Arabidopsis thaliana: one gene and its partner. The protein of the gene in region 1 interacts with the protein of each later gene in a biochemical or structural test. Each region holds a gene or a part of one and is shown on either strand. Other genes may lie near its edges.

Region 1 (7,439 bases):
CTCATTTCTGGCGAATTAGTTTTAGCAAATGACCTAGTAGTCAATTTCACCCTAATTTTTGTTGTGCTTGTTATATAGCTATAGTAATATGTGTTATGAAGATCCGCTATGGAATGTTTCATGTAAATTAGAGAATTCGAGAATTTAGGTGACTAGTGCTCGAAACGTGTTCTTTATCAACAAACCAGTCAGCTATTGGTTAGATAGTGTTGATTGAAGCAGGGATGTTATACACGAATTGTTTTTTCATAGGCTTGGAACTTTTTGTAGAGCTTCCAATTTGGCTAGCTAGATTTTGTTTAGCTTTATTGAATAAAACGTCAGATGATTTCATAAGTTGGTTATTGTTGATGGTGGTTTATTTTGTTTGAGCTGAGGCTAGAATATTAGTTTTTCACAGATTTTGACTTTCCATTTAATTTGTTAATATATTTTTGTTTGTATAATCTGATTGGTGATTGTACAGAGCGTGCTTGGTGTTTCTCAGTTCTACCATTTGCTTTATAATTCGTTTAGTAGTCTGTAATTATTGCCACACACACTGTGTGATGGTTGCTGTTTCTTCATTTGATGCATATATTACAATTTTTCAGGCTCGTATTAAAAAGATTATGCAAGCTGATGAGGATGTTGGCAAGATAGCTTTGGCAGTGCCTGTCTTAGTCTGTAAGTCATCTTGCTATCATTGACTTCAGTTTGAAAAGAGAATTATTGGAAACTTTACCCTTTGGCTAAATTTCATGTTCTCTTATTACAGCAAAATCTTTGGAGTTGTTCTTGCAAGACCTTTGTGATCGTACATATGAAATTACCCTTGAAAGAGGTGCCAAGACTGTGAGCTCATTGCACCTGTAAGTAACAGATTGGTTTACCTTTATTTTTGCTTTAACTCTGCATGCTAGCATCGTCATTATCTAAAGAGCATGAAAGGTTTCACTTGAATGCATTTTAAATTCTAGAGCTTTCAGATGTTGTAATTATTGATATTGTGGTTTAAGAGTTAACATGATGTTGTTAAGCGGAATAGCTTCCAACTCATAGGGCCTATTTTCACTGCATCCAACACCGAGAGGATGTTGTTTACTGTTACAGAATTTTATACCACAAATTTGGGATAAAGTTCTTATTTTTGCTCATCCATGTTTATCAAAGTGCTTTGTTGTTTACAGAAAACATTGTGTGGAAAGATATAACGTGTTTGATTTTCTGAGGGAAGTTGTGAGTAAGGTGCCTGACTATGGCCATTCCCAAGGGCAAGGACATGGTGATGTTACCATGGATGATCGCAGCATCTCCAAGAGAAGGTTGGATGTTTGATCTCTTAGTTCCATATGTTCTAGTTCTTTGTTTATAGTCCGTGTCAAGCTGATGTGAGATGGTTTATCAAAACAGGAAGCCCATCAGCGATGAAGTGAATGACAGTGACGAGGAATATAAGAAAAGCAAAACGGTGAGCTCGTGTTCTTCTTGAAATATTATACTTCATCATTCATTTGGTGTCTATTCCCAGCTCCTTAGATTCATTGAATATATTGGTAATCACTGCAGCAAGAGATAGGGAGTGCTAAGACCAGTGGCAGGGGTGGTAGAGGAAGAGGGCGAGGAAGAGGTCGTGGTGGACGAGCTGCAAAAGCAGCCGAAAGAGAGGGTCTCAACCGCGAGATGGAAGTAGAAGCCGCCAATTCTGGACAGCCACCACCAGAAGACAATGTCAAGATGCATGCGTCAGAGTCATCACCACAAGAGGATGAGAAGAAAGGCATCGACGGCACAGCAGCATCGAACGAAGACACCAAGCAACACCTTCAAAGTCCCAAAGAAGGCATTGACTTTGATCTCAACGCTGAATCCCTCGACCTAAACGAGACCAAACTGGCACCAGCCACAGGCACAACCACAACCACAACTGCAGCAACAGACTCTGAGGAGTATTCGGGCTGGCCTATGATGGACATAAGCAAAATGGATCCAGCACAGCTTGCTAGTCTGGGTAAGAGGATAGACGAGGATGAGGAAGATTATGACGAAGAAGGCTAAGTCATAACAGCACTATAGGATATATAGAGTAGCAGCGTTTAGCAGTTTGTCTAGAAAATGCTTCTTCTGTCATCAAAATCTTCTCCTGTTTCCATTTATTGTATGAACCAAAGATTGCATGCACTCTATGAAACTTAATTTATTCTCCTGATTTGTTATTTAAGGTTTTAGAGTTTTACATCAGAAGTTAAAATATCTTACAGAGTAAGTAAACACTCAAAAGTACATAAACAAAGGAGAGGGACTAGTCATGGTGTTGCTCCGCGTGGTTGAGATGAAGAGCACCTTCATGGTTCTTGTGAACTTCCACCTTGAACTTTTCCTCTTTTTCTCCCCTCTTCAACTTCAGTAGCATGTTGTATTTTGCAGCCTCGCCGGTTACCTGTGTCCATGTTTTTAATATTAAGCTCATTAATCTTGTAATCACCAACTATTACAACTCAGACGTTAGTCCTCATACCAAGGAGAACCAATATGTTGCTTAAAGTCTTTTCTACTTCTAAAACTTCAACACCATTCGGTTTCACTGACACTTGATTTCGTTTATTTGCAATTTCTCAGATGAAATTCATGCAAAAACATTGTCAAAATCTGACAAGTTCTCTATTGAAATTCATTTTGTGCAATTAAGATCGAAGATAGAGTATATAGTAAATTAAAGCCATACCTCAGCTTTAGCATGCACAACCTCCAGAAGTTCATAAGGGAACAAGGAGTTAGACCTCTGCTGAATGGTCTTGACAGCCTGCTCAGCAACATGCTTCACTTCTGGATCATCTCCGGGAACTTCCCTCCATCCAGATTCATGTTCACCTGATCCACAAAACCCAATTTTCATAACCAAACTCTTTCCTAACCCACAATCTCTGACTTGCTACATATATATCCCCTGACATTATAATGTTCTTATCAGTAACTACTCAAATTCACACCTTGCTTGCAGCCAAGATCGGAGGAAGTGATAGCAGGGGCATCACTGGCAGGCTTGAACTCCTGTAACTCTTTAAAGTTCAACCACGGCTTGACCCACACTTTGGCTTCGTAAAGCTTCTTCTGTCCTGCCTCGAGAATCTCCAGAGTCAGGTGATGCAGTGTTCCGGCTACAACTTGTTCTTTCGCCTTCACAACTCTCGCAAACTCAAGAAGTGCATTCTACGACGACCAAAGACAGAACAAACCAAAAAATCAATCAATCAATCAATCCCACAACATGAACGCATTTCATCACCGAATAATATACACTCTCTAAGATCTGCTGGTAACTGAAATTGAGATCAATAGAGAAACTCCGGACAAAATTAGTCTAATCGTGTTCTGGATCAAGACTATAATAGCATAAAACACACATATCGAGACGAGAGATGTGAAAAAATCGAAGATGATGAGAGATTTGGAACCTCTTTCTTGTTGTGTTCATCGACAGCGAAACGAGCGAGGCTCTCAACCTCACCACTGTTCTGATTAGCAGGGACATCGCCAACACCTCCGACTAAAGCCATCTCTTCGTTGCAGAAGCCTAAATCACTGGCGATCAGAGAGGAAATGAAGAGGGATAGAGAGAAGAAAACAATGAAGAGTAAGAAACGGCTTCTCATCATTCTCACCTTTATTTGGTTCGGTGCCCTGTATTTTTAGATATTTTTCGTTTTACTCGTCGAATTGTTGATTTTATCCTCTACAGTTAATTCGCCGTGTACCGGATTAAGGTGTCCATTTGGTTTGATGTTGGTTTTGTTGGTACAGTTTTAAGTTTAGGCTCTGATTTATGAAAATATTCTTACGATTTAAAACAAAAAAGGTTTACATTTGATTGGATGCCAATTGAATCGAATCATTTGTAAGAAAAGAGTACCGATTCGAGTTATAGATTGGTTTGATTTGGCCTCAATCGGTTAAGCTACCAACATTTTAAATAGAAATTCATACCAATCTGGATTACACATGAAAACGTTGCTGAGGATAGCGGCACGTTATACGAAACGTGTCGGCAGAGTCACACAGAAATTGTCAAACACCTTTACTTGTAATCGAAGTTTAAAACATCTATGCACCTTTCTTCGTCTTTCTCTCATCTGCTAGAGAGCCCAATTAAAAAAGGCCCATGGGAAATAAAATCGCAACATAAACAGTGAAACATCATTGGAAAGAGTTTTATTAGTCTGATATTATTGTTTTGATAATACAAAGCTGCGTATTATATTATAATAATAATACTCTCGTTACTAAATAGCAGCTTCGAGGAGGCCGTTAACGAAGGATCTTTGGTTGTAACAATCAAGATTACCACCAGGATTAACACCAAATATGTTACAATACCTCTGATAAAACCCTATACGATCGGCGACTCTCCCGTCTTGGCCACGTCCACACTCCAATCCACCGTTAATGATGTTCGTAATCACTCCATAACCCGGTAATCTCCCGGCGGCACGGTCGGCGTCTGAAGGCTGCCACTGGCCGGCTATCACGGCATGGCAAGACGGTTTGGGAGGCTGAGCAGTCATCCAGAACCAAATCGCGGCTTTGAAAGCGATCACTGCGTCGTTGGCAACAAGGTCAGGGTTGTTGAGTAAGTCAACTCCTATTGCTCTACCGCATAGACCGTAATTGTAGTTCCACGACAGTTGCATTGGTCCTCTTCCGTAGTAGCGTTTGCCAGATGCGCATGGCCACGTGGCGCTCGGTTCACAGTAGTCTGAAGCAGGATTCTGTTCTTGCTTGAAACAGTAGCCCCATGAATATGGTCCGTCTGGTGCTGTAGCCCATCCACCTGCACGACGTAACCGTCCACTTAATTAATTAGTATATAGCTATATATATAGTCACAACTCACAAACTTGACATTATTCAAAAGTGTATAATTTGGAAACTGGAATATTCGTAAGTTCCTTGATTGGTTATTTGCGTTTAGATTAATCAAGAATTTCATATTTTTAAAATAGTTTTTTAATTGTAAACGCAAACATCTAAGACCAAAACATTTTTCTTTGCGTTTGGCGTTTTTGTTTGATTTTTTTCTTTCGTTTCTAAATATGAGAAGCTATAATTTTTTCAATAAAACATATATATATATATATATATATATATATAGTATAGTAGTTCTTTGTATATATGAGCACTTGGATCCAAAACTCTTTACAGAAGAAAAAAAGAACTTCAAATTCTGATGTTTTAATAATAAACACCAAAATTTAGCAATTGTGTTTTGAAACAATCTCCGTCAAATTGTTAATGAGTTTTGGGTACCTGTAGTTTCATGGGAAGTCTGGCCGAAGAAGGCGGCGACCTCCTTCTTCCTCGTGGCGGTGTCTCCGGTGGTGCCAAAACCGGGGAAGGACTTTGCAGCGGTGATAAAGGCGTTGTAAGTGTAGAAACCTCTAGCAGGACAAGCGGCATCATTCCTATGCTTAAGCATATCATCGAACTGAGAACTTGAAATGATGCCCGAAAGATCGCCGGTGGGTCCAGGAGGAGTACCACCGGGAGTGCACTGGCTTTGGCAGCCAGGCTGCTTACAGTATGGTTCGGTGTTACCGCACCAGCCGAACTCGCTGCAGCATAGACCGTTGGGGCAGAGTGCTCCTCCAGCTTGGCGACCACATTGCTCGGCCGAGGATAATGATAGGAGAAGTGAAAAGATGAGAAAGAGAAAAAGATTAGTCTTCATTTTGTTCAATGTTCTATGGTTTTCTTTTTGTGGAGGCATGAAAGATATATATAGATCCAATTAATGAATGTTTTATCACATCAAATTCTATCTTTTTCCATAGTTTATTGTTTGTTATGTCTATGGAGTGTGGCTATGGGGAACAAACAGTATTTGGTAGGTTTGTTTTTGATTATATTTATTTTCCTTCCGTCATTGTTGCTAGGTTAGATATTGATTTGTTTTTTTGGGGGATTATCATGTTAATTCCAAGTAATGAGAACTTTCTATGTATGAAACTGTGCTAAATGTTGGTAGAAGAATACAAATTTTAGAAGACCAAAAGCATAACAAATTACACTCTTTTTGAGTTTTTTGTTCTAAAGTTACTATCGACGTAGATAGTGGGACACAAAGGTCGTAAAATTTTGGGTGGTCTGAAAACACGTTTACTCGAGTTGCGGACTAATCGATGATCTGAGCTAGTGTGCACTAATTAATCAAACACACACATATTCGGATATTCCCTATGATGTATACACAATACTTGACTATATCTAAGACAAGATCACAAGAGTTGCATGAATAGTCAAGAAAATGTATAACGTGGAGAAAATAAAAATAGACGTGTCTAAATATTTAACTATGATCAATGTTGACAAAAACAAAATTTAACTTTAATTATGAATATGAGGCGGCGGGTTCGTGATCAACTTTTTCAAAAAGCAATTGAGACATTTAGAATTCATTATAAGGTAACGTATAGCATTAGCCAGGTAATGATATAATGACTCAAGACCAAATCATACCAATATTTAATATATTCATTATTCCAACTACTCATGATGACTTTCCCTATTTCATAATGTTTTATCCAAAGTACGTGTCATGTTTACAAACTATATAAAATCCAAAACCTCGACGAAACCTGCGTGCTATTCTTATGTACTAACTATGAAAAGTAACGTTAATCATCGTTGACTGAATCTCTAATCTCCAATCTCACTGTGGGCTGCGTTGCCGTCTCTTTCGGGTAGAAATAATCGACCATGGAAAAAAATAATATTGTAATGTGAATATATTGGCAAATCCTACAAAATACATTTTAAATGTAATCTTAATTTTTGTAATTAATTACATGACAATACCATTAGAAAATTTTAATCAAAAATAGAATCTTTTAATGACATCATTAAGATTACCAAAATCATTTAACGACAATATTCATCTCTTAATTATAGGGCTTATTGGATTTAAAGACGGGTCATCAAAGATTTCCTAAACTGAAGCAAAATATACCGAATATTCAAATATCTATCTGTTACCAAATTATAAACAAATAAGTTCGTAAAACAATTTAATATTTTATATACGAAATCAATTAAAATCTTAATTACAGAAAAATTAGCATAAAAAAATATGGTACATTCGGGTCTATAGTATTTTTGCAAGACTTTTTTGGTGGATTTGAGTAAAAGTGCATTCAGGTCATATAGTACATTCTCCTATTAAATAAATATGGTGCACTCCTATGTTATTAGCTAAAATGTTTAGATTATAATTCAGAGTCATATCATAAATAAATTAATATTAATAAAATAAATGGCTTTTTGGCAAGACGGATTTGGAGGGATGGGTTTTTGAATCAACATTAATAAAAAAGTAAAATCTAATTAATCCACCGTTTTAATACGGATTAAATTTTTAATTTATTATTTTTTAAGACTACTAATATTAAATATATCAAATCATCCTA
Region 2 (6,399 bases), on another chromosome or scaffold:
AAATTGCAGAACTAAATGCCAATCTTTCTACACAAAACATAAACAGACAAAATCATCAAAACCAATATGCATTGATCGATTCAAGCAAAGACTAAGTATTTAGTATAAGAAACGTTACCTACACGTCTGCATAAGACTAAAGGAAGGAAGAGGAAGACAAAGATGAACAACAAACCAAAGAATCTCGTATTCCACCAATGAGAACCAAACCATTCTTGAAGAAGACCTAAATGTATGATTCCATCTTTCTCATTACCCGAAATAACATCACCTAAGAGAAACAAACAATCACTGAATCAATTCAAAGGTTTGTGAAAAAGTTCAGATTTTTATTTTTGAGACAAAATCAAATTTTACCAATGATAATCGAGAAAATAATCATAGACCCAAAAGTCACAACCATTGTAACAACCGTAACAGCAACGGCACCAGATTTTCCGAACGATTCCTTCATCACGCCGGCGTAAGTTGTTGATTCTCCGGCGAGACTGGATTTCATTAAAAACCCAGCTGATACATTGGAGAGCCAAGCTATGATTACGATTATCGATAGAGATGGGATTACACCTAGGACTTTGAAAGCCGCCGGAATCGCCATAATTCCAGCTCCGACGATGCTTGTCGAGATGTTAAACACAGCTCCGGCGAATGATCCATGGTTCTCCGATGATGATGATGAAGGCTCTTGGTTTGGTAAGAGCGGTGCTTTGATCGCAGGAGACATTTTCTTTCAACTACCGGAGAAAGAAACTAACAGAATTTTCCCCGGTGAAGAGGAAATGGTAATGAAAACTGAAAATTGATGATTGATTTGTGAGAGAAGAATAGATAATTAACGACGTCAATATTACGTGGCATCGTAATCATATACTGCAGTTAGGGGTGTCAAAATGGGTAACCCAACTCAACTCAACTCATAATCAAATGAGTTTAGAATTAAATGAGTTATGGGTTGACCCAACTCATTTTGCTAAATGGGTTGAGTCAACCCATAACTCATTTAATTTGATGGGTTGAGTCGTTAAATGGGTTAACCCATTTAAGTAATAATTTAATTAATTATTATTATAAAAAAATAATAAATAATTATCATTATTAATTCATTATCATCAAACTTAAGATATTTACGGATTCCACTTTTTACAGGTTTACGTTTTTGGTACCGAAAATCACGGATTTACGTTTTTGGCGGGAAAATTATAGGTTTTTACGTTTTTGGCCGGAAAATGATGGGTTTACGTTTTGGGCGAAAAAATAACGGATTTACGTTTTTGGCGGGAAAATCTCGGGTTTACGTTTTTGGCGGGAAAATCACGGGTTTACGTTTTTGGCGGGAAAATCTCGGGTTTACGTTTTTGGCGGGAAAATCACGGGTTTACGTTTTTGGCGGGAAAATCACGGGTTTGCGTTTTTGGCGGAAAAATTACGGGTTTACGTTTTTGGCGGGAAAATCACGGGGTTACATTTTTGGCGGGAAAATTACGGGTTTACGTTTTTGGCGGGAAAATTATGGATTTACGTTTTTGGCGGGAAAATCACGGGTTTACGTTTTTGGCGGAAAAATCACGGGTTTATGTTTTTTGGTGGAAAAATTACGAGTTTATTTTTTCTCAATTGCATCGCTTGTATATTTAAGAAATTTGGAAAAATATTAATTTTATTAAATTGGTTTAGATGTGTTGGTTAAACTTAAATTGGCATTGGTTTAGAGATTTTAGTTGGTTTAATTCAATTTTACAAAATTTGATGGGTTAATTGGGTAAACCATTGAAACCATTAACCATTACAACCCAACTCATTTTACTCATCAAACCAATTGACTCATCAACCCATTTGACCCATCAACTCATTTGAGTCAAAATTTTCAACTCATTAGGGTTCATGAGTTGAGTTGAGTTGAGTTGACCCATGAATTTTGACCCATTTTGACACCCCTAACTGCAGTACTATATATATGTCCACTGTCGCATAATTACAAATAAGTTTACTCAAAAAATTTATATATATATATATATATATTTTTAACAGAAATTTCTTAAAAACAATATCTTTGTCTAAAAAAGGGGGGGGGGGAAGATCTTAATTAACTTAGTAATTCTACTAAACTTAAAAAGATTGTTTTAAAACATAAAATTTGTGATATTTGATTTATAAAGTATTTTTTCGTAATTATTTTTATATTTTTTATTTAAGTCAGACAGTATCACGAACTAGTAGGTTGATGTGATCGAAAGAATCAGAATAGTCTATAATGTTTTTTATTTGATTAAGCTAATATTTTATATTTTAAATATAGTAATCATAGACTTTTTTCATAAAAAAGTAGTCATAAAAAAAAAACTCATATAGATAACACGACAGCAGTCAATAATAATCATGTGTTCCATTATACAACAAACCGGAAAAATAAAATTAAATCGCTCCCAAACAAAATAAAGGTTTTGTTTCACAACAGATTTAGGTGGGATTTTGGTTTCAGAGTATGTCTCTGATATTGGCTTGAGTTTTAGAGGTTACCGTAAAGGTTTGTCTGAATATCATTGTACCAATCGTCTCTGACTGTCTTCTCACTGGTGACTTCTTAGAGAAAGATTTGGTTAATAGCACTACACCACATTACTGATTTTGATCAATTTGCTAACTCTATAATATCTCGATATGTCTCATCAAAGATAGGGTGAGTGCACAAACCATTTACACACAGAATAGGGCTGAGGATTTAAACAAAAACCCTCAACAATCACAAATCTCAATTGTCTTAAACGCTGATTACTTGGTTTGTGATTTTGCCCAAACAAAGTCGGTTGACTATTCCCGCCTATTATTCTTTCTCCAGTCCCATGGCTTCTCTGGATTTGAAGAAGCCCACAAGCCAATACGCTTCTGCCTTGCCTCCTTTTCCCACTGAATGATTTCACATAAAATGAACAGTAAATACACAAAAGATACTATGTCAACAAACTAAAGAGACTTCGTACTTGTAGTATATACAAAACAAACTCTACTAGTCTTGCCTTTGCGAGAACCGGGCGCTTGTCATAAGCTAAGTAATGCCAAGCAAGCCCTTTCTTTAACATTGCCTCCTAGATAAGAAACCAATAACCGATTAAACAAAGTTTTTATTACAACGGAAGGGCAAGTACTTCTATTACCTGGACAAAGATCCCATTGCAGTATAAATCACCTACGCATCGCCCATATTGATCTTCTCCATAAACTAACACCTTCAAGCTTTTCCGCCCAACAATCTTTAAGAGCCCTTCTTGTGCCTCTTTCCCAAACGGCATTTGGCTCTCTGGTGCATCTATTCCCCTATTTCCTTTCCCATCACCAAACAGCTTCACTAAACAAAATAATCCATGGTAGAACTAGTTGAGCTTTTCTTAAAGGAAAAGAGTGATCTTTACCTTAGTCTAATTCTGAACTTCCGAGCAAGAACTTCCTCATTCTCAATATTTAGTACCCTGTAACCAGAATCAATGATCTTTTGGTGAAGTTCGTCAGCTTTTGGATAATTTCTCTTCTCACGTGCTTTTGCTCTTTGAACAGCTGCAAGATTGACTTCCCTTGGAACAGAAGATGACACAACCGGCTCTGAAGTACTGACATACACTGTGATGGTGTCTCCATCTGCCACAGCTTTTGGATCCACCTTGTTTTCCATTACACAAGCTTAGTCAGCAACATTATCAAATCCCAAAAACCGAGTTGTTGTTCTTTTTGATTTGTACTGAAGTCATTCTAACCGGAAGTGTTTGAAATTCGAAAAGAATCCCTTCAGGCAAAGACACAGGAGCTTCAACAGTGACTTCAACTAGAGTATGAGACAAAGGGAGTCCATAGAAAGACAAAAGCCCCTGTTTCATAAACAACACAATCACATAAATCTCTTCCAATTCTCATAAATGTTTTAAAACATCTGTTCTTGCTAATCATACCTCAACATCAGCTTTCTGATTCCTTTTTAAGATATCAGTGACAAGCCTAGAAGCTTCCTCAGCTGTCTGCGGTGGAGGTTTTGCTTGCTTCCATGCCTCAAGTATTTTTCTATACCTTTCACAATGTTAAAATACATGACAAACAGATTGATTACACAACAAAGTTCACATCTTTATCCTACACGAAACATGTAAAGCAATCTTGTGTTATTTTACCAGTTTGCTTGAGCTTTTCTAGATGACTGAACATACCTCCCAAGCCCTTCAGGAACCTACAGGTAAACTCATCATCAAAATCAACTTTTGAACCAAATCAAGTAAAGAGACCTTCCAACAGCTGAATTAGCTTAAAGATCACTGGAGCACAAATGAAAGCAGCAGAATAAGTAGATCAAAGGACGGTTAGAAGTTTCAGTGAGAAAATTAAGACCTGGGAAGTGATCTCGAAGTTGAAGAGATCGTGAGCGAGAGCTGAAACACCGACGGTGGCGGCGGAGACGCCGTGAGGACCAAGAGAGTCATCGGTTGTTGTGGGTTTGCAGCATTTTCCGTAGAGAAACGTAAGAGCGTTACCCATCTTTCACCCAATTTCAGGGAATCCAAAAAGTTTTGATCTTTCTAATACCTTACCAGAGCCCAGAGGAGAATCCTAAAGAGGAAGGACAAAGGAGTCAACTCTCAAACACTTACTCTTATCTGTAATTAACTTTTCAATAAATAAATAAAAATGATTTAATTTAAAAGGAGAAGAAAAAATAAGTTGGGAGAATAATTAAGAATAAGGCAACAATTTTTTTTTTACAATTCTCTTTGTTAAATAAATCACAATTGTAGGTGGTCCATACAAACACCGAAGTCCAAAAGTAAGGAAACTATCCATTGTTGGAGCACAAATAACCAATTAGGATAACATAAGAAGTTCCTCCTTGGGTGTTTGTATGGCCGCGCAATACTCAGTTACTCAACAGTTTTTTGGTTCTCGCTGTGGCTTTGACAAGCTTGTGTTTTATATGACAAAAAGATTGTTGTGTCAGTCTGGCAGAGAAAGTGAAAAGTGATGGTAGCGAATCACACCCATGCATGGAATTTATTTGATGCCTGAGCACAGTTTGATACGATGAAGACAAAATATCGTTAGTTGTCATTAAAAACGATCTTGTTAAAACAAAAACAAAAAAACCCTTATGTATGCCATCTGAAACCATTTCCCATTATTCTCAACAATTTTCGAATTGATAAGCTACAACTATAAGCAATTCATGACTGTACAGTACATGATAAATGATGTCATATTTGGGAAGGGCAATAAGAGAAAAAAAAAACTCGTGCATCCACCACCATGTGCAAATATGGCAAACCAACATGACTAATTGAAGAAATTTTATTCACGAATCATTGTTTCCCGTAAGCTAAGATACAAAAATACAACTCAAATGAATATATCTTTCCCTCCAATACGATCAAAAGCTTTTATAAACATATACAATTGGTACCTAGTCACATAGCCGCATAAATCTCATTGATTCTTAAGATCATCCATACTTGCCTCTTCAGTTGTACTGTATTCCACTGTGGATTGGCTCGCAACCTCGGGGATTTGGTTGGAAGTTGTGACACTTTTCTGAGTTTGCAGACCCGTAGAGCGCGCAAGATCAATCCATTGCTGCGTTTTTATGAAAAAAGTTGGAATGAAGTTAAACGGTATATCAAGAATTAACCAAAAATAATAATAAGGAAAAAGGAGACAAAGAATTCAAGAAGAGATCATAGTACAGGCCTAATTCTGACCTGAGTTCCAAAGTAGGAGTTAGCTACTCGAACAACAAATGAAATCATGTTTACAAGTAGAGGTTGAGAAGAAAGCTCGTCAGAAATGCGATGCTCTATTAACCCAGCAATTATCTGCAATTGAAAGTAATATGATTTTAGAGGCATAAATTCAAAGCATACTGTTCTTCATCAAAAGGCCTTCCTTGGCTAAGATGCAAAAGCATAATATATTGCTGTGGTCATTAAGCAACTTTAACTACTTTTCATTAATATCCCTCATTCATTGAGTCAACATGTAAAGCACCGCGCATCACCATACCTGATAACGGATATTCGAAGATGTTCCCAGATAACCTCCATACACAAGGGCCGTCTTCAGCATAGGAGACCTCTTTGCTTGCTCACCAACACCCAACTCTGGTTTAATGAATTTTCGTATTGCATACAAAGCATTTGAAGATCCCACAGCTGCAAAACTGGAAACAACTCCAACACCAGCAAGCTTCAAGCCACCGATAATAACTGAAGCAATCCTAAGACTCAGAGTCCACTCTTGTCCACCTAGACTTTTTTGAAATGCATTGTCAGGTATGGACCCTAGGAGGCCTCTTAAGGCATCTATGCTGTTTGGCCCAATTGTCTCATCAGCATATGAGATAAAAGACAAGGTTGGTGCAGGGAGCCAAACTGT

Evidence for each region.
Region 2: the proteins of CYSB (region 1) and AtCaN2 form a complex in vitro, tested with the Arabidopsis thaliana proteins (one study listed by BioGRID).

The regions. Positions count from the first base shown.
Region 1 is NC_003074.8:3,958,242-3,965,680, forward strand, and holds CYSB (cystatin B), read right to left. Parts: upstream 3,680-7,439; 5' UTR 3,636-3,679; coding exon 3,435-3,635; intron 3,190-3,434; coding exon 2,970-3,189; intron 2,851-2,969; coding exon 2,705-2,850; intron 2,685-2,704; exon of another isoform or gene 2,570-2,684; coding exon of another isoform or gene 2,561-2,569; exon of another isoform or gene 2,420-2,560; coding exon 2,282-2,419; 3' UTR 2,160-2,281; downstream 1-2,159. Other genes in the region: NF-YC11 (nuclear factor Y, subunit C11), read left to right, coding at 594-666, 758-851, 1,170-1,304, 1,393-1,450, 1,549-2,037; HCHIB (basic chitinase), read right to left, coding at 4,260-4,807, 5,284-5,743.
Region 2 is NC_003071.7:16,871,625-16,878,023, reverse strand, and holds AtCaN2 (Ca(2+)-dependent nuclease family protein), read right to left. Parts: upstream 4,680-6,399; 5' UTR 4,516-4,679; coding exon 4,369-4,515; intron 4,211-4,368; coding exon 4,155-4,210; intron 4,054-4,154; coding exon 3,939-4,053; intron 3,858-3,938; coding exon 3,747-3,857; intron 3,653-3,746; coding exon 3,408-3,652; coding exon of another isoform or gene 3,404-3,407; exon of another isoform or gene 3,313-3,403; coding exon 3,153-3,312; intron 3,084-3,152; coding exon 3,015-3,083; intron 2,905-3,014; coding exon 2,809-2,904; 3' UTR 2,341-2,808; downstream 1-2,340. Other genes in the region: AT2G40420 (Transmembrane amino acid transporter family protein), read right to left, coding at 1-27, 119-271, 358-724; AT2G40400 (DUF399 family protein, putative (DUF399 and DUF3411)), read right to left, coding at 5,455-5,601, 5,727-5,840, 6,028-6,399.